3 linked regions of the Saccharomyces cerevisiae S288C genome follow. The main gene of each other region encodes a partner of the protein of the gene in region 2 in a complex. Each region holds a gene or a part of one and is shown on either strand. Other genes may lie near its edges. The genes, in order: MOB2, CBK1 and SSD1. A codon is read from its position in the direction of its gene.

Region 1 (5,484 bases), on a different chromosome or scaffold from region 2:
TCAAAAGATTATTAGAATCCGTAAAGATTTATCCAGAAAATTAGGAAGAAGTACTACATTAGCAGATGAAATTTATTTTGAGAAAAAAAGGCAAGAATTATTAAACAGCCCTCTAATAGAAGATAGAAATGTTGGTGAAAAGATGGTTACAACTGTATCATTATTTGAAGACATCACTGACTTGGACGCACTTGAACTAGAAAACGGTGGAGATGAAAATAGCGGTATGAGTGTTCTTTTACCGTTGAGATTACCTGAAATCCCACCTAAAGGTGATTTTGATGTTACAGTATTGAGAAACAGTCAATATTTTTTCTCGTGAGCCGTGAACTACAAACTAAAATTTATTTGTGTTATTTTTATTTAACTTGTACATATATATATATATACATACTTAGCGTTTATCGTTTGCATTATTTTTCATTCTTTTTAATTGTTTATATTAAGTGTCTAAAATAGGAGTGACCCATGGTAACTAATAATAATAATTGTGTTCACCTCTAATTATAAATAATTTTGCCCTGTTTTTCAAAGCTTTCAATTAACGGTAGCAGCGGAGCCATTTCCTTTCTGTCAATGATCTTAAACTCCTTTGCAAAACTAATGAAATGAGAGAAAAATGAATTCCAATGAGCTTCTAATGACAAGTGCACAATTTTGTCAAAGTGGTGGTGATAAATATGTGCGAATATCCTGAACATCTGTACCATGATTCTCTGCACATCTCTCGAAAATTGCTGCGGGAATGGTAGCCCATTTTTGGTCGGAAACAAGTTTTTATCGTTCACTTTGTTATTTATCCACGTGAGGGCCAAATCTATGTACTGACTAGCTGGCAGTGAAACCTGTCTATTGTTTGCGTCCAGCCATAAATAATCCGTGTGAGGGCCAGCGTTCATTGTTGGATACGCGTCAGGCGTTACGTACTCCGCTACTACTCCGTAAAATTGGTTCAAGTTTGTGAAGAATTCGAAAACGTTCAACGCTATCCACTCTCCCAGGTCCACATATTTGGGCAATTGTACTATTGTTTTAAATGAACCTTTCACTAAAGCAGTTCTTACGAACGGTTCGCTGAGAAACATTATCTGTTGTGATTCTGATCTCTCACTAGCTTCTTGCTGTTGAGACTGTGGTGTGGTAGATGTCAATTGCTGTGATTGCGGCGTAGACTTTTGTGCGGGGAAACTTGTTTGAGAATGCCTCTTAGGCGAATGATGTTTATTTCTTAACGATAATCTGGAATTGCTGCTGTGGGGGCTTGAATAAATGGTGTTCATTGCTGGCGGCTGAGCAACATTAAGGGGCTGGTTTTTATTTTTCTTTGAGTTTCTTCCGAATGCTCTGTTTTGCAAAGTATACACGTAGGATCAAATGATTTGATTAGGTGTGTTGGCTAGTTAGTAAAATGATAACGCAGGTCCAGAAGAAAATAAAACGACAACAGTGTGAACATACTTGAAGTTGAAGAAGGACATGATGTGCTGATAAATGCTTGGTTGGCTTGCGGAATTGGGGTAGTTGCTTTTCTTAAAGTTTTTTGATGATCTTCGTGTTTCAAAAGCTAAAGCATTTCTTTTTCTTTTCTATTTTTCACTAATTTTCGTGAAGTGACATATTGCAAAAATAAAATATGTAAATCAAAAGAGGGACAAAAGGATATATTAAGGGTGGTGAATTATGATATGAATAGCATTTTATAAATTAATATACATGTGAGTGTCTATTTATTCGTCATCCTCTTCTTCGTCAGCATCTTCAGGGGTGACTTGATAGAAAACCAATTTGTATTGGTTTTGCCTTATAGAGACGAATCTGATCCAGTCTCTTAGCTGATTCTTCTTCAAATACTTCTTTGTTAGATATTTCAAGTATTTACCAGAAAATTTGGCACTGGATACTACAGTGACTATAGAACCATCTTCAGTAACCTCAATGGCGTTCCCTAAGTTTCCTACGGCACCATCTACTTTAATATGATCGATTAAGTACTTGGAATATGAAGCCGGATCGAAGACTCCGTTTTCAGTTGGAGAGGAAACGTCAACGGTTAAGGTTTTGATAACTTTTTGCTTTCTGGAAGTCTGTTACAGTTTTATGTTAGTAATCCCAACTGAGATGAAATCATCCTTGTCGTTTGGACGAGGAAAAAATGTCTGGCCTACTGCTATTAACAATCACTTCATATAGCTAGAGAAAGCGCATTGCCTCTGTTAAAGCTATAAGGGGTGAATTTTTAAAATACAGAATAGCTGAATACATAAAAATGTAACTTCGAGATGGAATCCACTAGTTCGCTGTGAAAGCGGGACTGTTCAATGAACTGTAGGAATAGACAAACTTTTTAAAGATTTTATTTTCTTTCATGTTCTCTAATTGTGACATAGGAACGAAAATTAACGTACGTTTGGAGCCATTGTGGTTGATATTTGTGAAACGATATAGGTTTACTGTGCTACGGTGTTTTTATGATCCCAGATGTTCAAAAAAAATCAATAATTATCAATTAATCGTGTACTTTAATAATCCATATATGAATCATTTAGGTAATTAGCTCTTTTTTGCTTGAAAAATTCATCCATTCGGCTCGCGTTGTCTAAAAAAAAAAGTTTGGAAACTTTTTTGTATAATTTATGGGTGTTATCTCTGAATATGTACGGGTGTTGACATGGAGAAAGCAGTCTCGATATTTTGCCGACCTTAATGCTTTAAGAATATGAAAGGAAATGCGGTGCAAATAAACGATCCTATCGTGGTAGTAGGAAAGGGTGTGTACTACTAATAGAGAATTATACCATACGCTAGTTTGTTTCCGAGTTTGAATAGCTTCGTATTTTCCTTACTGGCTGGTACAGTTAGTTTTAGTGATTCTATTAGTGATTGGAAAGCATAGTGGAAGGGTTTCTCGAACGTAATAGAGGCAGAGTTAAAAGAGAAGATTAAACATTACAGTACTAAAAGATGTCCGATTCGGAGGAAGATTTAGGTGTACAGTTGAAAGGCTTGAAGATAGCGAGGCATTTGAAGGAGTCAGGGGAGCATACTGATGAAGAATCCAACTCAAGCCCCGAACATGATTGCGGCTTGAGTAATCAAGATGATTTAACTGTTATGCATACACAGGCTAAAGAAGAAGTTTTTAAACGAAGAGAAGAAGACGGAACACGAACCGAAGATGCTTTACATGAGGGAGAAGCAGGAAAAGAGGGCACAGGTTTTCCCTCATCACAGTCAGTGTGCAGTCCTAATGAAGCAGATAGCGGTATTGATCGGGCCGATAAACCTATTTTGCTGGACCCTTTTAAATCTGTGCACGATACGGATCCTGTTCCAGGTACAAAGTCCAGGAGCAATTCAGACTCCGACTCTGATTCAGATGATGGAGGCTGGCAAGAGATGCCCGCTGTCTCATCGTTCAATATATATAACCACAGAGGCGAACTAGAGTTGACTTCCAAGGTTAGAAACTCAGAACAAGCCTCTGAGACGTCTCCCACAGTTCCTCCAGGAAAAAATTGCAAAAGTGTCAATGATTCTAGATTTGACTATACGAAAATGGCCGCTGAGCAGCAAGCCCAACGATCCTATCGAACAAATAAAAAAACAGATTTCCTTTTTGACCACAAAGTACTGAAAAAGAAAATTAACAGTTCGCAAACTTCCGTAAATTTGACTTCTTCCCCTTCGACTACATCCTTGAACAATGAAAAAAATAATGATGACGATGATGATGATTCTTATGACGAATATGAGGACGACGTGGAACCAGTGAACGACTTGAATCGGGACTCGCAGTTAAACATAACGAAAAATCTGCTATCTGATATGGAGAAGTTTGCCTACGTAGGTGCAATAAACATTTTGGCAAATCAAATGTGCACGAATTTGGCTACGCTGTGTCTTTGTATTGACATTAAATCCCACAAGAAACTAGCACATAGATTACAGTTTACCCAGAAGGATATGGCTGCTTGGAAAACTGTGGTTTTATCACGGCTATATGATCATTTGGGGATATCTCAAGAAGAAATTGTTATGATTGAGAAGCTTTCTCTGCACAAAATCCAATTGGAAGATTTGTGTAAATGTTTGAAAACCACTCAGAGCATTGATAATCCATGGGAGAATGATAGAGACCACGAAGAAGACGGTATAGAGGAAACTACGGAACGAATGAGTCCAAATGAACAAAATGGCTCAGTACAGGCTAGTACTCCCGACCCAGAACAATCCGCAACACCTGAAACACCAAAGGCTAAACAATCACCGTTATCTTCGGACGTTCCAGGAAAAGTACTCGATCCGGAAAATGTCAAAAGCCAAGACAAATTAAATATAGATGTGGCGTGGACCATTATATGTGATCTTTTCCTAATATGCTTGCAATCCTCCACCTATGATTCGAGGTCAAGGACTTTGTTGATAAATTTTGCCAAAGTCTTGAATATGACTAGCTTGGAAATTTGTGAATTTGAAAGACGAGTAACAGATTCCTTAGACATGGAACAATCTACAGAAGATCAAGTATGGGATGAACAAGATCACATGAGAAATAGACGGAGAAGCAAAAGAAGAAAGAAAATGGCATATGTCGCACTTGCCATGGTAGGTGGTTCTTTGGTCCTTGGACTAAGTGGTGGTTTACTAGCCCCCGTCATTGGCGGGGGGATTGCTGCTGGTTTGTCAACAATAGGTATTACTGGTGCTACAAGTTTCTTGACCGGAGTGGGTGGTACCACTGTTGTTGCCGTTTCAAGTACTGCTATTGGTGCCAACATCGGTGCTAGAGGTATGTCAAAAAGGATGGGAAGTGTGAGAACTTTTGAGTTCAGGCCACTGCATAATAATAGAAGGGTTAATCTAATCCTAACAGTGTCAGGCTGGATGGTTGGTAACGAAGATGATGTTAGATTGCCATTTTCTACGGTGGACCCTGTTGAAGGTGACCTGTACTCGTTATATTGGGAGCCCGAAATGCTAAAGTCTATTGGTCAAACGGTCAGTATTGTAGCTACCGAAATTTTTACCACCTCGCTTCAACAAATTTTGGGTGCCACTGTTTTAACAGCCTTGATCAGTTCTATCCAATGGCCGATGGCTTTATCGAAATTGGGTTATATTTTAGATAATCCGTGGAATGTTTCTTTGGACAGAGCTTGGTCTGCAGGCAAAATTCTTGCTGACACCCTAATTGCAAGAAATTTAGGTGCCCGCCCCATTACACTGGTTGGCTTCTCAATAGGTGCGAGGGTCATTTTTTCTTGTTTAATCGAATTGTGCAAGAAAAAGGCTCTAGGTTTGATTGAAAACGTTTATCTATTCGGTACACCAGCTGTCATGAAAAAGGAGCAACTAGTCATGGCAAGATCTGTAGTTAGTGGGAGGTTTGTAAATGGTTATTCGGATAAAGATTGGTTTTTAGCATATTTATTTAGAGCTGCTGCTGGTGGATTTAGTGCTGTTATGGGTATTTCTACGATAGAA
Region 2 (11,513 bases):
TAGATTCAATTTCGTCTTGTGACATCTTATGTACGCTTTCAACAAGAACACACATTCCCTGTACGGGCTCATTTGCCAGAGGTCCTTCGCTAACAGCCAGTTGGAAGCCATTTTTGATGGAATCTGAATACTCAAAGGCTGCTGGAGTACCTTCAAATAGGCTTCCAAGAAGATTATCCTGCGACAGCAAAATGTTGCACCCAACTCTACTTGGCCCAAAACCTGCTAACTTTACTTTAAACCCACTTAATAGTTCTCTGCTCTTCTCCTCCTGATTTATGACCTCTTCAAAAGCAACGAGTAAAGACTTTTTGTCTAGAAAAGAACTTCCAGTTGATTCTATGACGGGATCCATGCTTGAAGTGGACGTCTTCAAAATGTTTTTAATGCTATTTTGATGTTGAGATAAAAAGTCTGTAACTTTACCGCTTAATGGGAACGTTCTGAATGTAATCTTGTACTGGCTCAATAGTAGTTCATGAACACCCCTTCCCAGCTGTGAATTCTGCGGTGGATTCATATCTGAGGCTGATAAAAATGTTTCCCTATATGGAATAGCCGGTTCAGAATGTGTAATTTCTATTCCTGCAAATCTCTCTGTTAAATCTTTTAGGCATCTTTCTAAATGTAATTCACCGGCCGTACACAGAATGTGTTCACCAGTATTTTCAACGTATGTGTGCACGCAAGGATCTGCTTGATCCAACAACTTTAATCCTCGTACCAACTTGCTCATTTCCACAGGATTGGCTGGCTCCACAGCAACACGAACGATTGGCGTAAAATGGAAATTGACGCCCGCTAGATTGACGCCTTGTACGCCCTTCTCTATCAACGTACCACTCTTTAAAACTTTACCGGCCAGACCACGAATACCGACTATATTTCCTGATGGACAAACGTCCAAAGGAACCAATTCCTTACCCATAAACAAATATAAATGCGTAATAATCGCAGTTTCAATATGCTCCTCTGGACATTTTGGATCATATTTTGGACCCAATACCGAAATCTCCTGACCAACTCTTAGTGTGCCACTGTATATTCTTGCAAATGCTACCAAGCATTCTTCCTTTTCGTCAAAAATATCATCTACTTCATCGTTCACATCCTCTGAAATTTGCTTAATACTCTCCAAAAGTGGATCTTCTTCCTCATATTCAAACATTGAACTTAGAGGGTCATTTGGATCTATGTCAGTTGGTACAAAATCTAGGCCGAAGTTATCTTGACTATCTGAATCATCCTCCCCCTCATATTCAAATTCTAAATCCAAGGCGGAAGAAGGCTCTGAAACAACACAGAAAACATCATTATTTCTTGAAGGTTTTGGCTTTGTCTGTTCTCCTACTTCGGGGGTCATAACGGTATCTTTTGCTCTTTTATATAAATCTGATGTATTTTTAGAATTGTCATTCAAATCCATCATTGCCATATTTTCTACCATACCAGCATGTTTTGCAGCATTAAGTGCTTCCTCACGTGCCTTTCTACTTCTCTCCATCAGCTCATCCGAAGATGCTATCCTCTTAGATTCAACAGGTAATTCTTCTCTAGGAATTGAAAGCATCTTAGATACGTATGCACTAACTGGTCCTTCTTTATCACATGTCTTCATGGCTTTCAGAAGTCTTGGATCCATGGCTGCTGTGTCGGATTCGGAGACCAAAATAGTGTTCAAACGATCGGTTTGTGATTCCAAAGGTGAAGGTAATTTTTCAATAACTGTTAACAATACTGCTGTGCTGACGGGTAGCCATTGACCCATGATAGTTCTTAACAATTGTTTATCGTCCTTCGACCTTAGATCACGTGCAAGTAGCTTAATATTTAAAGTTTTTGCTATTTTTTCGACCATTTCAGAATCTCTCGATGTGATTATGTTTTGATAAATTTTCCATATATTTTCGAGGATTAGCGATGTGAAAAGGGGTTTCAGGGATCTTCCCTTAAGGCCTTTATTGTTAATAATTTTTTTTGTCTTGGGATCCATATAGAAATCACCCCATAAAACTTTCTGTAGGTTTTCCCTTTTAGCGCCTAATTTTTGTTCGTAAAATTTGGCCAATTGACCGATGTTGAAACCCCAACCATCAATTGCGGAAGCAAAAATAACGTTGTTATCAGTAGGGTTAAAGTAAATACCCGAATCATCCTTTTCAATATATTCCGCGTTTTCGTTCTTTTCTAATTGCTCCCTCCAAAATAAATCATCCAATTGTCTCTCGTTTGCGAAAAAGGACCCGATAACTGAGTTGACTTGTTCAATGACTTTGGACAAGTGAATATAAGCTTCTTGGGGAGTTAGTTGTAGTTCTGTGATCAATCTATCAATCTTATTCAATACTAAAATGGGCTTCAGCTTCTCCGTCCAACATTGTCTCAACACTGTGACGGTTTGCGAGCATACCCCCTCTACGACATCAACCAGTACGACAGCACCATCACATAGTCTTGAAGCTGCACTGACCTCACTTGAAAAATCAATGTGACCTGGGGAATCAATTAAGTTTACTAGATGCTCGCTTACAAGAGGCTCATCGGAACCTTCTTGTTTACGCAATACCCTAAAATATAAAGAGATAGCCGATGATTCCATTGTGATACCACGTAGTTGTTCGTCAGGCCTGGCATCTAAGAATCGAATTTTGCCGGCAAGCCTTTGTGATATAATACCATTCGAAGCCAAAAGAGAATCTGAAAGTGAAGTTTTACCGTGATCAACATGAGCAACAATACATATATTTCTTATACAGGAAGGGTCATTTTGCAGACGTTTGTAAGTCTCCGATTCCACTCTAGGCATATTTGCTTATCGTGCTTAGAAAAATAACTGAGTTTGGTTATTTTATAAACTATTTTGATAATCTTGATGATGTACAAAGATTGTATTTCGGGTGCACCTATCTATCAATATTCTTGGCTCTTAAGTTCCCATTTTTCAAAATTTCTTTTCTCGTAGGAAAAAGAAAAAGGAAGCGATGAGCTGAAAATTCCACTTTACAATATATCGAATATCCAGTATACCAAAACTACATACAAACGAACACGTCATTAAAAGATGTCTGATAAGCCCGACTCCCAAGTATTTTGTCCAAATTGCAATGAAAGACTTCAAAAGTGTTTAGTACAGCAAAATTATGCCATTATAATATGTCCCAGCTTAGTCTGCGGCTACCCATTCAATCAAAGAGAAGTACTCGAAAATCTAACGTATGTAGACGATAATGACGTCTTAAAAGTTGCAAAAAAAAGATTATCTTCACGAAGCAAACCATAAAATAGTTGCACTATTGCTGTTCATTATCTTTCATTATCCCTAGTAACGCCATTGCAGAGTCAAATATGAGCGATAACAATATAAAGAGCAATAACATGATAGTTGAAATTAACATAAAAGAAGCGACATAATTAAAGGTCTCAAAGAGTGAAGATCAAGTATCCGGTTTTTACGAATAATCTACTTTCTATGTGAAACCCAAAAAAGTTCGTACAAGGAAAACTAAAAAGTGTGTAATAACTTGTCTAGCTTTGGCATTAAAACTTGTCAATTATTCATCACCAATATAGACTAATGCGTTTTGGAACGCCAAACCGCAGTGACAAATAGCAAATATGTAGCTGTCATATCGGCATATAATAACAGTTTTCTACCAAATGCTGTCCTACATTCAGAGATCTTACATCCTTACATCTAAAGTAAAACCTAGACATTTACTTCGAGTTATACTTTTTTTTTATTTATCTATTTTTTCTCTTGCGGACATTTAACACCTGAATTCCGCCTAACGCCAGGACTGATCCTGCCAGGGAAGGGAGCTTTGTCTAGTGCCAATAGGCCGGACCAGTAGGAAGGTTACAGCAGCTGGCCCGCAGAGTGATTGGGTCACAGGAAATAGCGCAACCTTCTCTTTTGCCCGGGAAAGGCGGTTCAATCTACCTTCGAAGGGCTAGTACATGAGCGCGAAGGAGGCAGATAATAGCACCATTAAGTGGTCCAAATGCATCTTGAAATCTAATCCTTAATAGAGGAAAACAACAATTATCAGTAAAAATGGGTATGTTATAACCATAATTCCTAATGGTGAATAAAATCAGGACCAATAAAGAAAAGCTAATTTGATTTTTATTGTCAATGAAATTTCATAATCGTCATGAATGCATAAACAGACACACCTAGCAACTGTATAATCTGCGCCTAAAAAGGGCGTATACACAAAACTAAACGATGCGCAATAAAAGTTCAGCAGTCAGCAATGAAACCGAGATATGCAGCAACAGAGTATCATATGCATGGAGGATCCTTTCTGTTTTTCTGATAATATGCTCTGAAAAAGCTCCAAACAGCACAGTAGCCTATTTGTGAAGCTCAAAAAAGGCTTCTATTTCCCTCGCTATCTTCAGATTGTGCAGTGATATTCTTTGAGGAAGGAAACGTAGAGGGGATAAGTTGGATAACTGTTATTTCTTTTCAATATGCTAGATTTTGCTTACCACCTTACTGATTTTTTCTAATAATAAACTTTTTTACTAACATTAGTACGATGTCTCATCTATTTCTTCTATTTAGTTAACGTTCCAAAGACCAGAAAGACCTACTGTAAGGGTAAGACCTGTCGTAAGCACACTCAACACAAGGTTACTCAATACAAAGCTGGTAAGGCTTCCTTGTTTGCCCAAGGTAAGAGACGTTATGACCGTAAACAATCTGGTTTCGGTGGTCAAACCAAGCCTGTTTTCCACAAGAAAGCTAAGACTACCAAGAAGGTTGTTTTGAGATTGGAATGTGTCAAATGTAAGACCAGAGCCCAATTGACCTTGAAGAGATGCAAGCACTTCGAATTGGGTGGTGAAAAGAAGCAAAAGGGTCAAGCTTTGCAATTCTGAATCTCTTTATGGGTTTCGCTTTTGTATTTTCTTTGCTTTAAAATCTGATATAATTACATATTATTACAATATAAAACTTTACGATAATTCCTGCAACTAATGATGCGTTAGTACGGTTCGGGCGCTCTAGGACGCGTGTCGGTCGGGTAACCATCATTCTTATTCGACGAAAATGATTAGTTTCCAGAGAAGCAGTTGCACTCCAGTTTGATCTGCAGTCCAGCGACTATTTTTAACATTCAAAGATCATTTTTCGTTTGAATAGTTGAGCAAGGTCATATAAATTTCTATATCACACGAATAAGGGTTCAGATATTGCTTTATTATCGGCGAACACTGATATTACCACATAGATATCGCTCTTTTTTTGAAACGTAAGCGTAAATTTCAGTATAGGTACACGTCTGCGCTGATCCTTCTGTAATCCTCTGCAGTTTTCGCAATGTATAATAGCAGCACCAATCATCATGAGGGTGCACCTACTTCAGGACATGGCTATTATATGTCCCAACAACAAGACCAACAGCATCAACAACAACAACAATACGCCAACGAAATGAATCCGTATCAGCAAATTCCTAGACCGCCTGCTGCAGGATTTAGTAGCAACTACATGAAAGAGCAAGGCTCTCATCAATCGTTACAAGAGCATTTACAACGTGAGACAGGTAACCTTGGCAGCGGTTTTACAGACGTTCCAGCCCTGAATTATCCAGCCACACCACCACCACATAATAATTACGCAGCTTCAAATCAGATGATCAATACCCCACCGCCGTCGATGGGTGGTCTTTATAGACATAATAATAATTCCCAGAGCATGGTTCAGAACGGTAATGGGAGTGGGAATGCACAATTACCCCAATTATCACCGGGCCAATATTCTATAGAGTCAGAGTACAATCAAAATTTAAATGGCAGTTCTTCTAGTAGTCCGTTCCACCAACCGCAAACGCTACGGAGCAATGGGTCATATTCAAGCGGGTTAAGGAGTGTGAAAAGCTTCCAGAGGTTACAACAAGAACAGGAAAATGTCCAAGTTCAGCAACAACTTTCCCAAGCACAGCAACAAAATTCCCGGCAACAACAGCAACAACTTCAATACCAGCAGCAGCAACAACAACAACAACAACAGCAACATATGCAAATACAACAACAACAACAGCAGCAACAACAGCAGCAGCAATCACAATCTCCCGTTCAGAGCGGCTTTAATAATGGTACCATATCAAACTATATGTACTTTGAAAGACGACCAGATTTGTTGACTAAAGGAACGCAAGATAAAGCAGCAGCTGTAAAGTTGAAGATTGAGAACTTTTACCAATCCTCTGTTAAATACGCCATTGAAAGAAATGAAAGAAGAGTGGAGTTAGAAACAGAACTAACTTCTCATAATTGGTCAGAAGAAAGGAAATCTAGGCAATTGAGTTCTTTGGGTAAAAAAGAGTCACAATTTTTAAGGCTGCGTAGAACGAGATTATCGTTAGAAGATTTCCACACTGTGAAAGTCATTGGAAAAGGGGCATTTGGTGAAGTCAGACTGGTTCAGAAGAAAGACACCGGAAAAATATATGCAATGAAAACTTTATTAAAATCCGAAATGTACAAAAAGGACCAATTAGCACACGTCAAGGCTGAAAGGGATGTTCTGGCTGGAAGTGATTCTCCATGGGTGGTTTCGCTATATTACTCATTCCAAGATGCTCAATACTTATATTTAATCATGGAATTTTTGCCCGGTGGTGATTTGATGACCATGCTAATCAGGTGGCAACTATTTACAGAGGATGTTACTAGATTTTACATGGCTGAGTGTATTTTGGCCATCGAAACCATTCATAAATTAGGATTCATTCACAGAGATATTAAACCAGATAATATTTTGATCGATATTAGAGGTCATATAAAATTATCTGATTTCGGGTTGTCTACGGGGTTCCATAAAACTCACGACTCAAACTACTATAAAAAGCTTTTGCAACAAGATGAGGCAACTAATGGTATTTCCAAGCCAGGTACTTACAATGCAAATACAACCGATACTGCAAATAAAAGGCAAACAATGGTTGTGGATTCTATTAGTCTAACAATGTCAAACAGGCAACAAATTCAGACATGGAGAAAATCACGTCGTTTAATGGCATATTCTACCGTAGGTACACCAGATTATATTGCTCCTGAGATATTTTTATACCAAGGTTATGGGCAAGAGTGTGATTGGTGGTCACTTGGAGCAATTATGTACGAGTGTCTGATTGGTTGGCCTCCATTCTGTTCCGAAACTCCACAGGAAACGTACAGAAAAATCATGAATTTTGAGCAAACTCTACAATTTCCTGATGATATTCATATCTCTTATGAAGCCGAAGATCTAATCCGTCGACTATTAACTCATGCAGACCAAAGACTTGGTAGACATGGTGGTGCAGATGAAATAAAAAGTCATCCATTTTTTCGCGGTGTTGATTGGAATACAATCAGACAAGTAGAAGCACCGTATATACCAAAGTTGAGCTCCATCACCGATACTAGGTTCTTCCCAACCGATGAGTTGGAGAATGTTCCAGATTCCCCAGCTATGGCACAAGCTGCCAAACAAAGGGAACAGATGACAAAGCAAGGTGGAAGTGCGCCAGTCAAGGAAGATTTACCTTTTATTGGCTACACTTACTCCAGATTTGACTATTTGACAAGAAAAAATGCGTTGTAGGGACGCGTTAAGGACATTCCTCTTTATTCAAGTATTTATCTATGGATGTAGAACGCACATTATGAATAAATAACTGCACTTTTTTCGGGAAAAAAATTACCAAAATAGACATCAGCTTTATCATATGTCTCCTTGAAGTATTTGAACGACCACCTTTCCGAAGACAATGTACCTAGTAACCTACAGGCTGCCCTTAATCCATACATCCACGCACAATAGCACAATCTCGGTGATGGCTGGTTTTTTTACCTTGAAAAACAAGAAAAATGGCTGATGTAGTTGAAAAAGGTAAAAGAGATGGCAGATCAGGGGACGATTTTGTAGAGGAAGTATCTATATATATCGACCATATTGAAAAAAATATGAAATAACATACACACGTGTAAGAATATATAATTTTTGTTATTAACACGTCGTAAAAGAGAAAAGATCGTGCTTTCATCACGCGCTTCCTCTCGGCCTTTCGAACTATAAATTATAAGATGATCCAGTCTTACAATACTGAATGAAACTCAGGGAAGACGATAGCGGAGGTTCGACAACCGATCACTGTAAAACCTACACTTTCAAGTTCATTAATCGTCGCTTGAAAGATCGTCATAACCAAATATTGCTAGAAACAAAAGCGTTCGGGATAGGTCAAACCATGATGAACTAGTTCCACACGCATATCTTAAAGCGTGCTATTTTTTAAAAAGGGCAAATTTAGGAATGTCTGACGGAATCCCTAATCATCTTTGGCTTTTCCCTTCACTCCCTTCTTTTACCGACGATGGTTTGAAGGAAAGAGAAAAATGAGCAATAGGAAAATTCAGTAGTCGATTTCCATTTCAATTCCCTATTGGGTAATGTGGCGGCGAGGGCTAAACATTCGGTATCATTGATTCAATGTTCTCACAATGTTCAAATTCTCGGATCGGGTATCCCTAATTGGGATCTCTTTCCAGAGGAAGGGGCCTTGATGTGGGATTGAAGACACATGAGTTTTTTTCTCACCGTCGAAACTTTTGCTTACCCGTAAAACATCGGCCATTCGTTGGTTTATTATGTGACTTTTTTGTGACTTTTTTTTTTGCGAAGTTTTCTCGTCATCCGCGGAAGATCCGGCGGGCGAAAAAGTCTCTCACTTTTACCCAATCGGGGCATGTTATGTGGACATGTTATGTGTCCAAGAGACACATGAGCCCAAAAAGGGTACACTGTCTAAATAGTTTACCCTTTACGAATCGAAACTTCTCGAAGAAGGGGCCGAAAATTAGCGCAGAAGTTGACGAAAGTTTATACTTTTCCTAATGGAGAGGCTCAGGAGCTGAAAAGGGATATATTCGTACTCTATTGCATCTTCAAACTCCGAAGAATCTCAGTAGGGAGTGAAGCCGGCTTCTCGATGCTACAGTTCAACATCGATACTTTGAAGAAAGAAAGCGCCTATTATATCTCTTTTACCCTATTAGTAATAATTAGGAAAAAGGGAGAAAAAAGTACCTCACTAAAAAAACCATCATCTCTGAAATATAAAAAGCTTGATAGAGGGTGACATTTGCTAGAACTTCTGCTGTGTTCTCTTGGGTTATTGCTCTTATTGAATATCCCTTCTATTTCTTTCTTGCTTGTAAAAAATCAGCTCAAAAAACATCTACAGGATTAATCGTCAGTTAAGTAATACAGTAATAGAAAATGAAGTTCCAAGTTGTTTTATCTGCCCTTTTGGCATGTTCATCTGCCGTCGTCGCAAGCCCAATCGAAAACCTATTCAAATACAGGGCTGTTAAGGCATCTCACAGTAAGAATATCAACTCCACTTTGCCGGCCTGGAATGGGTCTAACTCTAGCAATGTTACCTACGCTAATGGAACAAACAGTACTACCAATACTACTACTGCCGAAAGCAGTCAATTACAAATCATTGTAACAGGTGGTCAAGTACCAATCACCAACAGTTCTTTGACCCACACAAACTACACCAGATTATTCAACAGTTCTTCTGCTTTGAACATTACCGAATTGTACAATGTTGCCCGTGTTGTTAACGAAACGATCCAAGATAAGTCATCCGCCGGTGCCGTTGTTGTTGCCAACGCCAAATCTTTGGAAGCTGTCTCATTCTTCTTCTCTATCATTTTTGACACCGAAAAGCCTATTGTTGTCACTGAAGATTCCGCTTATGCCATTCCAGTCGCTAACAATAAGAACGCTACCAAACGTGGTGTCTTGTCCGTCACTTCTGACAAATTAGTGTACTCCGGTGTCTTCACTCCACCTACTGCTTGTTCTTACGGTGCTGGTTTGCCTGTTGCTATCGTTGATGACCAAGACGAAGTTAAATGGTTCTTCGATGCTTCTAAGCCAACTTTAATCTCTTCTGACTCGATTATCAGAAAGGAATACAGTAACTTCACTACTCCTTATGGTCTATTAGAAAACGGTGTTCCAATTGTTCCAATTGTCTATGACGGTGGTTACTCTTCCAGTTTGATTGACTCCTTGAGTTCTGCCGTTCAAGGTTTGGTTGTTGTTTCTTCTGGTTCTACCAACTCAACCTCATCTACTATTGAAAGCACTGAAATCCCAGTCGTATATGCTCAAGCTAACACTCCATTAAACTTTATTGACAACAAAGATGTTCCAAAGAACGCTGTGGGTGCTGGTTACCTATCCCCAATTAAGGCCCAAATCTTGTTGTCCATTGCTGCCGTTAATGGTGTCACCTCCAAGTCCGCTCTGGAAAGCATTTTCCCATGAACTGATAGATATTAAATCTAGCGAAGCATAGAGATTCTTTTTTTACCAGTCATCATAACCATTATTTTACAAAATTTCCACGCAACAGCTTTTATTTTCGTTCGTAATAGGAACCATACTTCCCATTAAAGCAGTATGATTGTTTTATACACCTTTTTATTGTTATTTAAGACATACCCCAAATAATTAATTAATTAATTGATGAAAGAATCATATAAATTCTTGGCCATACATATTTTTTTATTATCTTTTGCTACATTGACCATAGGTGAATATCTTCCCGGGGTGACACTCCACTGAAGTGGGAAAAAAAGAAAAGTTTTAAAACATTGCTCACCTTAAGTCTCGAAGGTCTAGCATTCACTACCTGTAAGTGTCAAGACCCCACATGTATACATGGATACAATAAAGAAACAATGTCCGTATAATTTGTATACATTTTACTACAGATAAGGGATCTCACCCCCTTCTTTTGTGTCTAAGTGAAATCTTCTGATATATTTAGTGTTTTATAGCGTCCATGTTTTAAACTAGAACGGCAAAATAGTAGTTGTTGTAAACGCTTATTTTCGAGACATCAGGTAAAAAGGATAGTTAAATCTTACAATCAATGCATGTAGTGAGTGGCGTTTATCAATAGTTTTTAACAATTCCCATTTTGAAAGAAGCCCACAACAACCCTAGTAGTTCGTTAATATACGTTATGATGGTCAAGTGTCACAGTACGGAAAGCTTGCAAACAGCTCTTACATAGAGGAGTTGCTTCAAAATAAACGTCCTCTGGTGTCAAGTGTCTCATACAGCGACCACATGCGAAAGAAACTACTACAGATAAGCAAATACACAAATTATAATCGTGGATTCATCATCAGAATACGCCTGGCCCTGTAATCCTTTGGCTCACCAACATTCGATGGACACCTTTATATCTTCTAATAACAGTGAATAATAGACACAATACGAAGAAAAACCCAGCGGTAACCATGTAAACGGTACCACTTACGCCATAAGCTAAATAGATCAGAATGGTAGAGACTTTGACAAATAGCTCGAAAGCTTTAGCGAACATTAGTCTTATCCAATTTAAGTTGGGTTCATTGCCATCTCTACTTTTCATAATATGTTTTATCACAGGTGAAGAGTAAAATACAATGATGTTATGAAACTTTCC
Region 3 (12,905 bases), on a different chromosome or scaffold from region 2:
TGGATGAAATACAAACTGAATGCAAAGCTCCGGAAAAGGAATTTGCAGAACGTCAAACTAAACGAAAGCGACCAGCTAGATTAATATTCTATGATTCCAAGGGCGGTAAGTACGGGTCTGGCTTGTGTGTTAAAGCGTTTGAGCATATTGATGATATTATAGAGTCTAGTTTAAGAAGAATAGAAGAATGCCCATGCAGCGATGGATGTCCTGACTGTGTAGCGGCTTCTTTTTGTAAGGAAAACAGCCTGGTCCTGTCGAAACCTGGCGCCCAAGTCGTTTTGCATTGTATTCTAGGTCACTCGGAAGATAGTTTTATAGATCTTATCAAAGATGGTCCAGAGCCAAATATGCCAGAGATAAAAGTAGAGACTGTTATTCCTGTGTCAGAGCATGTCAACTTTTCAGATGATTTTAAGATTATTGACGTTAGAAGAGCTACGAAAGACGATACTCATACAAATGAAATCATTAAAAAAGAGATATGAGCACGCTATTTGTAGTTTGTAAACCGAATATAAATACTCTATTCTACTACTTGTAGATTCACTTGGTGGAAAGAAGTTACATCAACATTCTGTCACCTTGTTGATGCACAGAAAAAAAGACACTTTATTATTGTTGAATAACATTGTCTGTGGTATATATATATATACTATGATATTACAGTTTTTAAGACATTAATGTATTAACAGCCCATTTTACGCTTAATGTCCTCAAATCGGTATAGGTTTGTCCCACGCCAACGAATAAGATAGGAATCCCCGTAGCATAAACCATATTTACCATAGTACCCAGCATTTCACCAACTGTGTCACACTTGGAGATAATAAAGAAGTCAAGATTTCTTCCCTTTCCGAAGGCATCATTAAAATTTTTGGCTTGCTGGACAGAATCAGTACCTACTAAAGCCTCTCCAACCATAATGATTTTATCTGGCTTGGCTTGGTCAGCGAAAGACTTCAATGGCGACATTAAAGTAGGATCATTATGCCTTCTCCCGGCAGTATCCATTAACACTATATCGAAGTTTTGATCACGAGAATATTTGATGGCTTGCTTTGCAATTTTGGTTACCAAGTCAGATCCACCATAACCAGCTTCAAATAGTTCAACGTAGTCATTACCAGTTTTACCCCTTTTGTTCTTGGAGCCACGAACGTGTGAATCATCCATTAGCTGTGCCAAATTTTCAACATGGACCCTTAGTTGCTCAACTGCACCAGACCTAAACGTATCACAAGCAACAATTAAGACCTTGAAATTATTTTGCAGTAACCAAAACGCTAGCTTTGAAAGATTTGTTGACTTACCAACACCATTAACACCAACTATAGAGAACACATAGGGATCACATTTACCTTCTTCATCCTTTTTGCTTCTTTTGCTCTGAATTTCACGGAGGAGATCAACGGATACACCAGGCGTTAATATTTGAGTTAATGCTTTTGTTAAAGATTCACGAGCAGTATTCTCAACACTGGTCCAATTTGCAGTTTTTGAGCCTACAAGATCATGTGAGACTTGCTGTGTTAAATAGTCTGCTGCCTCTGGTGCTACATTTTTGGTTATCAATTGTTGTGTTAACTTCTCTAATACAGATTTCAAATCACTTTCATTGATCGTTTTGTTACCTAGAACGTGTTTTTGAAGGAATCCAAAAGCTGTACTGACGTATCCAGAATTTTTAGCTTCGTTCCCACTAGTTATCTCGTCTTTATGAGAAGACAAAAGATCATCAATTTCTTTGATTAAGAAATCGCCTCCTTCTGTTCTATCCCCAAAAGAATCTTTATTAATAGTGGAGTCTAGAGCTACTTGGCTACTATTGTGGCTGTTGGATGATGAGAAATCTAATTTGGCTGCATCTTCATGATTCATTTCATCAAGCATGCCACCATCACGGCCCCACTTTCTCCCACTACCAACATTTCCTGTAGATTGCTTCTTACCTTTTGTATCCCTCAATTTTTTCTTGGTATTTTTATTATGCGATTGGGGTACTGATCCATTTTTGGTAAAATTATCTGGATTGATATGGTCTTGTTTTATTGACTCTTCATATTTTATCCTAAAATATTGCTCAAATTTCTTCAGGTCGTCTTCAATTCCCTGAAGAATATCGACGTAGTTATGCTTGTTCTTTTCGTTTTGGCCCTGACGATTTTTTAGAATGGATTCACTTAAATGCAATGAGTTCCAGAGTTTTAACACCAGTGCAAGTGTTTGTTGAGTTTCTTGATTAAGCTCTAAAGTCTGCTCGGCAAAAGTCACTACGAAATACAATTCTGGTTGCTTATTCAAATAAAATAGTGCATTAAATGAAGGAGAATTTTTGTGTTCGCTGTTGATTGTTAAAAGATTGAAATCAAATCCGTCTGTATTTGCGTTTGCAACACTTTCTTTTCTAGTTACTGGGGAAGTAATCAGCTGGGATATAAAGCTGTTAATTTGTATTTCAGAAAACTTTTTTCCTAAACAGTTATATTGGTAAAGTACTTGACCTTGAGGGGTAAAGACTGCTAATTGGTCGAACATAATCAATGCACTTATTGAACCGTGAATCTCCTATTGAAAAAAACTACTTGATGAAGTAGCTGAATATTATTCAAACTGTGAGAATACCACAAATCTTTGGCTACAGATTAAACGCTGACGAAAAATTGGTTTATTTATTTCTATCTACTTATTGTACGACCTCAAATGTTTACGCAGTAGTTTCTGAAGTACGAGCAAAATTGCTCGACGATGATTTCGTTATTGTTTCCGGAAAAATTACCCAGCGCATAAAAAGTAAGCTTTCAGTACTTCTCTTTGATGATATTTGTACAGCAAAAGGGTATTTAGTAACGGAATAAATTTAATATATAAGAGTATAAATAACAAAAGACAATATAAATTGAAAAGTTGTAAATATTGAAAAGAAGGCTGCATTATTGTTTTATGTATTTTTGGGAAAAAATATATGACTTAACGAGGTCGAATAAAAAAATTTGGATGATGCCTTACCGGAACGTGGATTAAAAGGAGAAGTACAAAATTCATGCAGTTGTTAATGTTCGCAGGAAATAAAAACAAAGGGAAGGGATACTGAGGGGTGAAGCACAATCCAAAGAACGAAAGTGAAAAACAAGAAAAACAGCAATGACGATATTGGTAGAAGAGATTATACCCTCTTCATGAATGGATTTAATGCACGGACGGTTAAACATGGCAAAGCCATCCCCACCTCAGCTCTCAATAGAATAGGAATCTTTTGCAATTCATGTATTTCTTGTATATAGTTATCATTTTCAATTCTGGTTTCAGTAGTAGAAATGAATTTTTCTAAAGCATTTTGCTTGTTGTCGCTTGCAGATGGTAGCCTTAAATTTGGTACTGTTAGATGCAAATCGCTGAGTTCCTTACTCAATGGATCGCTGATCAATGGTTCAGATTCCGCTTCTTTATCTAGTTCAATATTCGCAATCTCAGCGGCTGTGGATCTGAATTTGTTCTTAATGGAATTTCTATAGGATTTTGGATTTTTTTCATCTGCTGGTATAAAAGTTGCACTATCTACGCCGGGCTGCCAATGCAATTCCAAGACACGATTGGTACCATCAAACTCAGCTTTGATCAAAGGTAGTTGATCTCCATGAACTCTCTTTTCAATACCAAATTCTGGAATAAATACATCAAAGGAGGACTCGTAAACTTGTAAGACAGTAGCCATTGTTAATAATTGTCCTGTAGTATTTCCCATGTCGTTGATTGTTTTACACAACAATAGATGAATTGCTTGTTCCTGTGCTTGATAAGCACAGTCCTTTTTAAAATTACAATATTCGGAGGTAATCTTCAAAGCTTCCATATCTTCGGTGTATGGAGTATCGTGGATAACGGCCTTTAATTGCCTATGAACGACATGATCAGCGTATCTTCTCATTGGCGCTGTGAAATGTGTGTAGATAGGTAGGTTCAAGGCATAATGCCCATATTGGTCCGGGTCTACTTTGCCAGCAATAAAGTATCTAGCTCTTGGCATGGTTTTAAACAGTAAAATTTCAATTCCGACTCTAACATCGTCATCTTTAATTTTTAGCACCCCTTTGATTAATTCATCCGCCGTATTGGTATCAAAATTGTAACCAAAATTTTGAATTTTCTTTCTAAATGACGCCATCTTGGTTGCAATGGGTTGCATCTGCCTTCTCAAAAGAGCTAGATCACCAAGTTTGGTGTAAATTTTCTCTGCAACAGTGGAGTTGACCTTTCTTTTAATCTCATTAATTACAACAAAGCCTAAAGTTCTATCCAGGATGTTCAAGTCAACCTTAACTTTTTCGTCATCCAAGCTTTCCAATAAGGACAGGGTGGGAAGTAATGTAGCTTCTGGATCATTTATTCTTCTAGCATAAAATGATCTAGCAATTTCCTGTACAGTAGAGAGGTAGCTAGTGGGACTTCCAGTAGATAATTTTTCGTCTAATTGTTCTAAAGACAAGATGTTTGAGGGGGAAATTGTAGATTCGCCTACCCAAGTAGATTTAATCCTTAAAGTAGATGAGTCTAGAGTGTAAACAACCGACAGCGTGGCTGATTCCTTGCCAGGGGCCAACGACAGTTCGTCGTTGAACGATTGTGGTAATAAATTGACAAGTTTTTGTGGCATGAACACCGCAGAGGACCTCTTTCTCGCACGCCTATCAACAGAGGAGCCTTCTTCAATATGGCTGGTCACATCAACAACATGACAACCCAGCTCTAGGGTACCATTTCCGTTATTCCTGACATGTAAGGCAAATTCAGACACCCATCCAAGCTCGGAAATTGCAAAGATATTGTACTCATTAGTGTCCGTAAAATTCCTCCTATATTCTAGACTTTCAGCCGTTAATGGTAGCGGCTGAAAACTTGGTTTTTCTTTTTGCGGATTTTTTTGATCCAAATATTCATTCGAAAGAAAATTGTTATCCCTTAAAATGGAATCAATTTCAGTATCAGGATCGTGAATATCTCCAAGTTCGGAAACTAAAATACCAAATGGATGCAAAGATGTGATTGGCCAACGTTTAATAGAGGCAACGAATAACTTTTCGGAGTATTTATCAGCGTTTTCAACAAAGTCCTTTGGAGCTAATTCTGTAGGAATTGCAATTAATGGCACCTTCTTATCAGTAGGCTTGAACCAAGCAATTTTTGGGCTTTGTGGTGGTTTGTTATTGTCGCTATTAGCTTGTTGGGATGGTCTCAACAAACCTAATGTACCGCTAAATAACTGACCAGGGATACGGTCCAAAACAGCAACGACATGGCCTGCGTAAAGTGGCTTATATTTATCGTTGATTTCTTCTTCTTCAACTAATAACAATGACTGACCTTCAACTTCAACATCGTCATTTTTCTTTTGAGTTGGACGTTGTTTCAATGAACTTCTTCTCCTTACTCCTGATTTGGTAGGAGATGATAAGGAATCACTATCATTATTGATAGTAGATGACCTCTTTCTTCTGACGGATAAATCATCCTTGCTTAGCGAATCAGACGAGGAGGGAGAAGATAGAAAATTGTTGCTTGTTGCAGCAGTAACAGATGCATCGTTGTGGTAATCGTCACTACTGTTCAAAGGAATTAGATCGTGTTGCATAGAGGCATCCTTTCTCCTCTTCTTTTCTTCCTTTTCTTTCTTGGACTCCCAAACATCGTCCACAACTAATAGTTCTACCGCGACTAAATCACCTTCAAGTGCTCTATTACGATCTTTGGAGCCGCAAATGTAAATATCCGCATCAAGAGCGCCATCTGTAGAGACCCAGGCATCCGATCTATTCTTTTTATTAACTCTTAATATACCAGCTACTAGTCTCCCTTCTTGGATTAGCTCTGGAATGTTGGCTTGGGGAAGGTAGGGTGCAAATAGGGACTTACGTCCACCTCCGTTATTATTACCTTGTGAACTGAAACTATGAACTGATGAATTAGAGGCACGATGTTTGTGTCCCTGCTGAAATATCGCAGGAGGTTCTAAGGTATTGAAGGAATTGTAATCCCTTGAATTAGATCCTCTGTGGCGGAATGGAGAAAGCTGCTGTTGAGGTTGCTGTGATTGGTTTCTCCAGTTGGAATTAATGCCTGGAGAATATTCATTGTTTCTTGTCTTTGAACGGCGGTGCGTTGAAGAGGTTGCTATGAATTCATCGTCATTATCCCCGTGAGAGTTTGGAGGAAATTTGAAAGAGGGAGGTGATAGGTTTGAAGTTGCGCGACGATGGCCCTGATGAGCATTTGGTGGTGGTGGAAATTTAAAATCAGATTGTTCTGTAGTAGAATTTGAGCCACTATCAGCTTGAACAGAATCTATCTTCACAGTTACGCCTGCTTCACCCCCAGATATTCTTTTAGCTTGTTCTTCCGCAGCAGCCTTTTTCGCTTCATTTAGACCTAAAGAATGTCTTCTGGAATGGCCATATATGCTGGATTGTGAACTCGTCTTTCTGTGTGAGTTAGACCCAGGATTATTGCTATTGTTATTGTTATCATATGAATTATGATAATATCCGGAGTTGTTCCTGGAGTGAGTTCTACTTCTGCTGCCACCTGCACTCATACCAGGTGAATTACCGTTTGAGTTGTAATGAGGGTGAGGCGGTTGAGGCGTGAAATGATTGTTAGAGCCAGAATTTCCTGACAGGTATTGTCCTGTCTGTTGTGCCAATTGCTGTTGCTGAGCCATCAACTGTTGCTGCTGTGCTTGAACTTGCTCCAACTGCTTCTGCAAAGTGAATTGTTCAATCATCAAATTTGTCAACTCACTTTGGGAACGTCTGTGTGCAACATGAATCTGCTTTGGGGCGTTTTTACCACCTCCTGTGGTTTGCACAAACATGTTATTTGGCTCTTGGGATCTATTGTTGTTAACGTTGCTATTTTTAGACATAGTGTATAAAGATGGAATAATTGGGCCAAATCTTTGCGCTGAAAGGTTTTTGGTGTTCTGTTTTGCGATATTAAAGTGACAAAGAAAAAGATGGAACTTGGCAAATACTATACGTTTATGAACCCTTGTCTTATTCTTCGTGCAGGCAACTTAGATTTCCCTTTGAAAAAAAGTTGTTTCTTTTAGAATAGTGGCTATGAAAAAAGTGCGCCTAATGCGGAAAAACGAGGCACCAGCTGTTCTAAAATAAGACCAAAATGTTTAGGGTACCAGAAAAATGGTATGGCGAAAATAAGCCTGGCAAGAAGACTATGCAGATAACTTTGACTATTCCGGTTTTTAGGTTACCAAAGACAGAAGAAAGGATCGGTCCCAAAAAAAGGAAATAGCTTATAAGGGAAGTTGCAGAAAATGCGCTTGAGTAACAAAAAATGTTAGAACGTAGCAAATATTCTAAAAGGAATGACAGAAAAACTTCTTACCTTTCTAAAATATAATCTCTCCTATTTCTCAGCTAGGCTCAAAATTATAATTTAGAAATTATTGTTTGCACGGCAAAACTTCGTTCCTTTGCTGTTAGAAAATCAGTCGGTGTTGGACTCTTCGTCTTTTAAATTCTTGACAAGAGAAGAGTTTTTAAATGAAAAGAACTAACGAGAAAAAACCAGGGGAAGGAGGGAAAGAGCGAAAATACTCGTGATCTAAACTCTTTTAGGTTAGTTTTCGTTGGAGGCAGTGGTCTTAAGACGATGGTGAAAGAAAGGACTTATTTGTAGAAGGATTGTTTATTTAATCCTTGAACTAAACAAATGACAAACTCAGGTCTCTAGCGTTCCTGTTCGTGGCCTTTAATAACTTGATGGCAATGGTAGAAAGACACACCTGCGTTATATAAGTTTAGTTTTCCCTTCTTTTCCTTTCTCATCCCCTCGTGAAGCGACTCGGCCCCTTTGGTCAGAAAATTCAAGGTGATACAAGTCGTCGTCCGTGACATAGGATCAGGAATCACAATCATCACATTGCACTCTCGTTCTTTAAATTATGTATGAGATTTGATTCTATATAGCTACTTGGTGGCGGTATCCTCTCCTGGACCCAACTTGTATAATGCGTCTAGGAATCCCACAATCAATTTGTCTGCAACGCCAGCAGTTTTAACGCTCCCGGCGACACCATATAGAGCGCTAGTTCCGTCTGGGGATGGTTTAGAATTTGATTCGCTCTTCAACTCTTGCACGGTAGTACGTAAAATGTCGCAGATCTCATCCACAACATGAGCGCTCAATCTCGTGAAGGCCATGTGTAGTGCAACCGGCTTTTGTAGGGCATTGAAATGCCAGCCTTTCTTGGACAACCTGTCAGATAGTTCGTGTATGTTCAAGGTCTTTGAAGAAAATGAAATGACTGAATATCTAGGGTTGCCCATTATATTCAGGTCTGGAATGTTTTCCTGGATGTATTTTTTAAACTTCATTGCTGCACCGACTATTTCTTGGCACGACTCAATGTACCCATTTTCACCCATGTTGACCATAGTGGCCCAACAACCTACGACAATAGCACCAGGCCTGGACCCTGCTAATGTAGGAGAGCCATATAACCCGCCAGTCCAAGCAGGATTTACGTAATACTGATGCATTCGTAAGTCGCTGTTTCTATACATTATAACTGACGAGCCTTTTGGTGCAAATCCATATTTATGAGTGTCACATGATATTGAGGTGACTCCCGGGACTCTAAAGTCAAGTAATGGCAGATTTTTGTAACCAGCCTTTTCCATAAATGAAACAATAAAGGAACCTAGACAACTGTCGACGTGTAAAGGAAGTTTATATTTTTGTGCTATTTTACCCAATCCTTCAATATCATCGGCAATACCATGAGGAAAGTTTGGAGCGGAACCGACCAGTAAAATTGTGTTCTTATTGATGAATTTTTTCACTTTTCCCAGGTCCACTTGATATGTCGTTGGATCTAGCTCCACGTGGCGTAGCTTCATGCCAAAGTAATAAGCAGCTTTGTCAAACCCAGCATGTGCAGTTACGGGAGCAATTATTTCTGGTTCGGTGATTCCACGATGATGAAGGGCATACATTTTAGCGCTCAGACATGCTAAAAGCAAGGATTCTGTACCACCTGAAGTTGTGGTACCACAACCTGTATCAGAAGGGGCATTAAACATTCTTAAAACCATAGAAACCACTTCGGATTCCATTTTACGTACGGCAGGAAAGACATCGGGATGTAATTGATTGGCAACGCAATATTTTTCGTATGCGATTGTTTGTAAGTGGATCAAATCATCACCACCGTGGTAAACGGCACCAGAGACCTTTCCTTCCTTCCATTGGGTATGTGGTATCAAGTCGTTCAATTTATTTAGCTCTTCAATAACATCATCCTGAGGTATCCCATTGGATGGCAACTGTGGGAAATTCATTAACTGAGAGTCCGATCTAATTAGTTCGTCTTCGATCGATTGTTTGACCTTTGTGACTTCCTTTTCTACGGTACCCCTCAAAAATGGTGAGTCCAATAACCAACGAAACAATCTTCTGGAACTATGCTCGTATGTTCTCACTGCTAACCTCACCGGCCCATAAACTTTCAACAGATAAAAAAAATTACTTATTAGCTTGTAACAAAAGATCACAAACAAATAATCCTTCAACATGTTGTACCATGGGGTATTTCTGAGGTAACCATGTATGGCTATTTTTAATTCGTTGATGGTTAGAATCATAAACTGGGCAAAGTCGCCTTCTTCCCTTAGTAAATGAATTGGCATGCCATACCAACCATTAATTGATACTGTTTTATTTGATACTCCACTCATTGTATTAGATGGAAAAATCCCTTTACAGAAGCTAGCCTACTTGCTCGGTAAAGAGGATCTGGAATAGTTATAACGGTTGGAGAGGCAAATTGAGGGTTTTATTTATATGTGTACTGAAAATATACCAATTTTTTCAATCAAAAAACCCCGATGCGGCCGGCCGGTATATATGGTAACTAACATGAAATAATGCACCAGAGTAGTTGATGAAATGTTTCTGAAGAATAAGGCGATAAACGATAGGCAACTGTGTAGATTTAAATATTTGGCCAATCTCTATGTACTTTCTCTTTTTTTCCAGTGTCAAATACTTGTAGAAACAGTCTAATTCATTAAGAAAGTATATAAAATCTCTCTATATTATACAGGCTACTTCTTTTAGGAAACGTCACATTCATGTGTAATTAGGGGTATTGGATCTTGTTGATCTAAACCGTGTACCATTTGCGGCAGCTTTTTCCACCTGGACGTTGTTTTTGTTTTTTAAGTCGTACTGTCGGTTCATTAAGGTTATGTAATTCTTTAAGAATTTGTTTCTTGCTTTAAGCGACTGAAAATCATTCTGTAAACGTTCCAGCTCCTTCTTCAAGCTTTCTGTGGAAAATTTAGTCAGTGGACCATTAACTTCGTTTTCTAAAGACTTCATTGATTCTTGCAAAATTTTCAATGTTTGCGCGGACTCTGCGGCTTTTGAAGATTCTATTTGATATTTGGAACGTAGTTCATCATTGAGCTTTGATTTTTCCGCATTTGCTTGTTGGAGTTCCTTTAACTTATTAAAAAGAGTCGCATTTTTGTCTATGTATTCCTTCAACTTGTCTGCTAAGGCAGATCCCTCTTCCAGATGATTTTCTGATGAAATAGTATTCGAGGGCAATTTGTTGAAATTCTCTAGTTCCTGCCTATTTTTCAGTAAGTGATTTATTTTATTTTGTAGCTTGGTAGATTCTGTCATCGCATGCTTCAACCTTTTTTCAGAGTCATTAATGGATTTTTCCACTTCTTGTTTTTTCTTGAATGTAAGACCAACAGAATTCTTTATTTCGTCCAACTGGTTCTGCCGTTGAGTTTCGTTTAATCGTTTCTCGTACAGTGGAACAGTGCCTTTGGCATACTCGTCCTGTATATCTCGCAATCTTATGACGGCTCTATGCATTAACTCTGTTTGGTAGGTTTTGATATCCAATGGTCCGTCCCAAAGGGGCAATTCTGTAGACGAATATTGCAATTTTGTTAATTGAGGCTGCCAAAACCCAGAATCGCTCGAATCTTTGGAGGCCTCATCTAACGTTATCAAATCCAAAACCGGTAAAATGTTATTGCAATCTTTCCCCTCTAAACAACACTTTACCAATTTAATATAATCAATCTCACAGTTGTTCACCGGAGCATTCCTTGCTTGCAAAAAATATAGTAAGGAGGATTTGATCTCTTCATATTCTTGGCTATCATCGACATGACCGTTATTGCTCAAATGCGACGATTTAACACTTGAATTCTTGATTTCAGAATCTAACAAGTAATGATCTGGAGAATTTTGTACTAATAGCTTTATTATCGGAATATCCTTATTGGCATTATTCCTCAGTACCTGCAAAGCGGGCAATTCAACTTCCAACATTGGATCAAAACTAATTATCATATCTATATCATAGTTAGCCAATAGGTATTGATCGTGTTTGAGATGTTTGGTAGTGGCTAAAAACAGCCAGTCATCCGTATTTATTTTTCTTTTTTTCAGGTTTCTTTTCACTGAGTAATCATAGTCGTCCTTAGAATAACCTGTATAAGAGGTCGAATTGGAATTAGAGCTTGTGCTGCTTACAGAATTTGGTGTTCCATCTTTATTTATTGTGGAATCGACCGTAGGTAGATTAGGGAATTTGTGTTTCTCATTATAAAGAGATGTACCGGAAAGTCTCTTGGTTCTGAATTTCTTGCCTAATATTAAACCTTCTAGCAAATCTAATTCCTTTATGCTGTGTGCGATGATGGCACATTTTATAACTTCGTTTGGTGAGCCCTCTCTGTCTCTAAAGCATATCGAATTAATGAGCTGGTTGAGAACTTGAAACTTGTGGCTCCCAGCAATAGAGCTTTCCGTGGGCTCCATTCTCAAAAGCTGTCGAGGCATATAATGGTCCACTAGAAGGGAAGGATGATTGGCTATTGCTCTTATGTTTGAATCAAAGATATAGGTTAATTGCCTTTGTGATAGCGTTGGATACGGATGTGTTTCAGGGCCAGCAGGTAAGCCGGAAGGCTTGTTCACTGCATCTGCCTGTGGTTCTCCTATTATGCTTGCTTTGAATGACTTGGCGTGCAGGGATATCAAAATTTCTGATAAATCCTTTTGAAATTGGGTTAGCGTTACAGGTAAGTAATAGACTTTTAGTTTCTTAGAATTTTTCCTACTCATGTCGATAGTATTGTATCTATTTTCTTTATTTTTCACACACTAATGAAGCCAAATACTTTTACTACTACTTAAACGCCTTCAATCGTTCTCAATTCTGTCTTTTTAAAAAAAAAAATTTTTTGTTACCTCTCCTTTCTCGATGTTCTACTAGTTGTGGTTACTCTTCTGTGCCGCAATTATGTTATTTTAGTAGGACTGTATTTTTTTTTTTTCTTTTGTTGTCGCTTTTCTTATATATCTATATAACTATTTATTTGGGCTGTAGAGAACTTTCTCAGGAAATATAAACTAGGAGACATTCGTGTAAGCAATGAACCATATACGCCACGGTTAAATTTCAGACGTGCATAAAGTTGATGATTCCTGTCAAGTTAACGACTCATTTTGTACGGTAGACGGGAAAAATACATTTCCTACAATATTCTCTTTTCCGATATTCAGATACTAAAGGAAAAAGTGAAAGTAAGGCTATATGATGAAATGTAGAGGAAACGGAAAGAGGAGATCCTGTGAGGAATAAATAGAGAAACAGCGACGGAAAAATCGATATTTCAGGGCAAAAGCATGAAGGTAAACCATTCAATTTCAAGATTCCGCCCCGCTTCATGGTTCGAAAAGACAAAGATAATCCCACCCCAGGTATACATCTTTAGGAACCTAGAGTATGGACAAGTACTATATTCTCAATTTCCCAACTTTTCGCAAACACAGGTGGATAAGCTGTTTGTGAG

The links.
Region 1: the proteins of CBK1 (region 2) and MOB2 are in contact, whole or in part, in a crystal structure (PDB 5NCL), measured with the Saccharomyces cerevisiae proteins. Residues at the interface, in NP_014238.3 of Saccharomyces cerevisiae: Met266 (codon at 6,125), Arg270 (codon at 6,137), Arg271 (codon at 6,140), Leu274 (codon at 6,149), Leu275 (codon at 6,152), Thr276 (codon at 6,155), Gly278 (codon at 6,161), Thr279 (codon at 6,164), Lys282 (codon at 6,173), Ala283 (codon at 6,176), Ala285 (codon at 6,182), Val286 (codon at 6,185), Lys287 (codon at 6,188), Lys289 (codon at 6,194), Ile290 (codon at 6,197), Glu291 (codon at 6,200), Phe293 (codon at 6,206), Tyr294 (codon at 6,209), Ser297 (codon at 6,218), Val298 (codon at 6,221), Ala301 (codon at 6,230), Arg304 (codon at 6,239), Arg308 (codon at 6,251), Glu312 (codon at 6,263), Leu329 (codon at 6,314), Gly333 (codon at 6,326), Glu336 (codon at 6,335), Ser337 (codon at 6,338), Gln338 (codon at 6,341), Leu340 (codon at 6,347); in NP_116618.1 of Saccharomyces cerevisiae: Glu98 (codon at 1,073), Pro99 (codon at 1,070), Leu105 (codon at 1,052), Thr112 (codon at 1,031), Ile113 (codon at 1,028), Pro117 (codon at 1,016), Lys118 (codon at 1,013), Tyr119 (codon at 1,010), Val120 (codon at 1,007), Asp121 (codon at 1,004), Glu124 (codon at 995), Trp125 (codon at 992), Ala127 (codon at 986), Leu128 (codon at 983), Phe131 (codon at 974), Glu132 (codon at 971), Asn136 (codon at 959), Gln139 (codon at 950), Phe140 (codon at 947), Val143 (codon at 938), Glu146 (codon at 929), Tyr147 (codon at 926), Asn194 (codon at 785), Lys196 (codon at 779), Phe199 (codon at 770), Pro200 (codon at 767), Thr201 (codon at 764), Lys202 (codon at 761), Asn203 (codon at 758), Gly204 (codon at 755).
Region 3: the proteins of CBK1 (region 2) and SSD1 are in contact, whole or in part, in a crystal structure (PDB 5NCL), measured with the Saccharomyces cerevisiae proteins. Residues at the interface, in NP_014238.3 of Saccharomyces cerevisiae: Asp450 (codon at 6,677), Val451 (codon at 6,680), Arg453 (codon at 6,686), Phe454 (codon at 6,689), Phe672 (codon at 7,343), Arg673 (codon at 7,346), Gly674 (codon at 7,349), Val675 (codon at 7,352), Ile680 (codon at 7,367), Glu684 (codon at 7,379), Ala685 (codon at 7,382), Pro686 (codon at 7,385); in NP_010579.1 of Saccharomyces cerevisiae: Phe211 (codon at 6,289), Lys212 (codon at 6,286), Phe213 (codon at 6,283), Pro214 (codon at 6,280).

Annotation. Positions count from the first base shown.
Region 1 is NC_001138.5:62,516-67,999, forward strand, and holds MOB2 (Mob2p), read right to left. Parts: upstream 1,479-5,484; coding exon 1,459-1,478; intron 1,345-1,458; coding exon 501-1,344; downstream 1-500. Other genes in the region: RPO41 (DNA-directed RNA polymerase), read left to right, coding at 1-322; 60S ribosomal protein eL22 RPL22B, read right to left, coding at 1,728-2,084, 2,406-2,417; MIL1 (Mil1p), read left to right, coding at 2,962-5,484. UniProt on the Saccharomyces cerevisiae protein: Functions as an activator subunit for the CBK1 protein kinase. Part of the regulation of ACE2 activity and cellular morphogenesis (RAM) signaling network. Required for coordinating polarized cell growth during interphase with the onset of mitosis.
Region 2 is NC_001146.8:327,268-338,780, forward strand, and holds CBK1 (serine/threonine protein kinase CBK1), read left to right. Parts: upstream 1-5,329; coding exon 5,330-7,600; downstream 7,601-11,513. Other genes in the region: GTPase RIA1, read right to left, coding at 1-2,806; YNL162W-A (uncharacterized protein), read left to right, coding at 3,062-3,280; 60S ribosomal protein eL42 RPL42A, read left to right, coding at 4,055-4,058, 4,571-4,887; YGP1 (Ygp1p), read left to right, coding at 9,278-10,342; ASI2 (Asi2p), read right to left, coding at 11,211-11,513. UniProt on the Saccharomyces cerevisiae protein: Protein kinase that seems to play a role in the regulation of cell morphogenesis and proliferation.
Region 3 is NC_001136.10:1,042,474-1,055,378, forward strand, and holds SSD1 (mRNA-binding translational repressor SSD1), read right to left. Parts: upstream 6,920-12,905; coding exon 3,167-6,919; downstream 1-3,166. Other genes in the region: HRQ1 (ATP-dependent 3'-5' DNA helicase), read left to right, coding at 1-488; SRP101 (signal recognition particle receptor subunit alpha), read right to left, coding at 673-2,538; sphinganine-1-phosphate aldolase DPL1, read right to left, coding at 7,986-9,755; HDA2 (Hda2p), read right to left, coding at 10,150-12,174; mitochondrial 54S ribosomal protein mL67 MHR1, read left to right, coding at 12,739-12,905. UniProt on the Saccharomyces cerevisiae protein: Can suppress the lethality due to deletion of SIT4, and partially the defects due to BCY1 disruption. Is implicated in the control of the cell cycle G1 phase.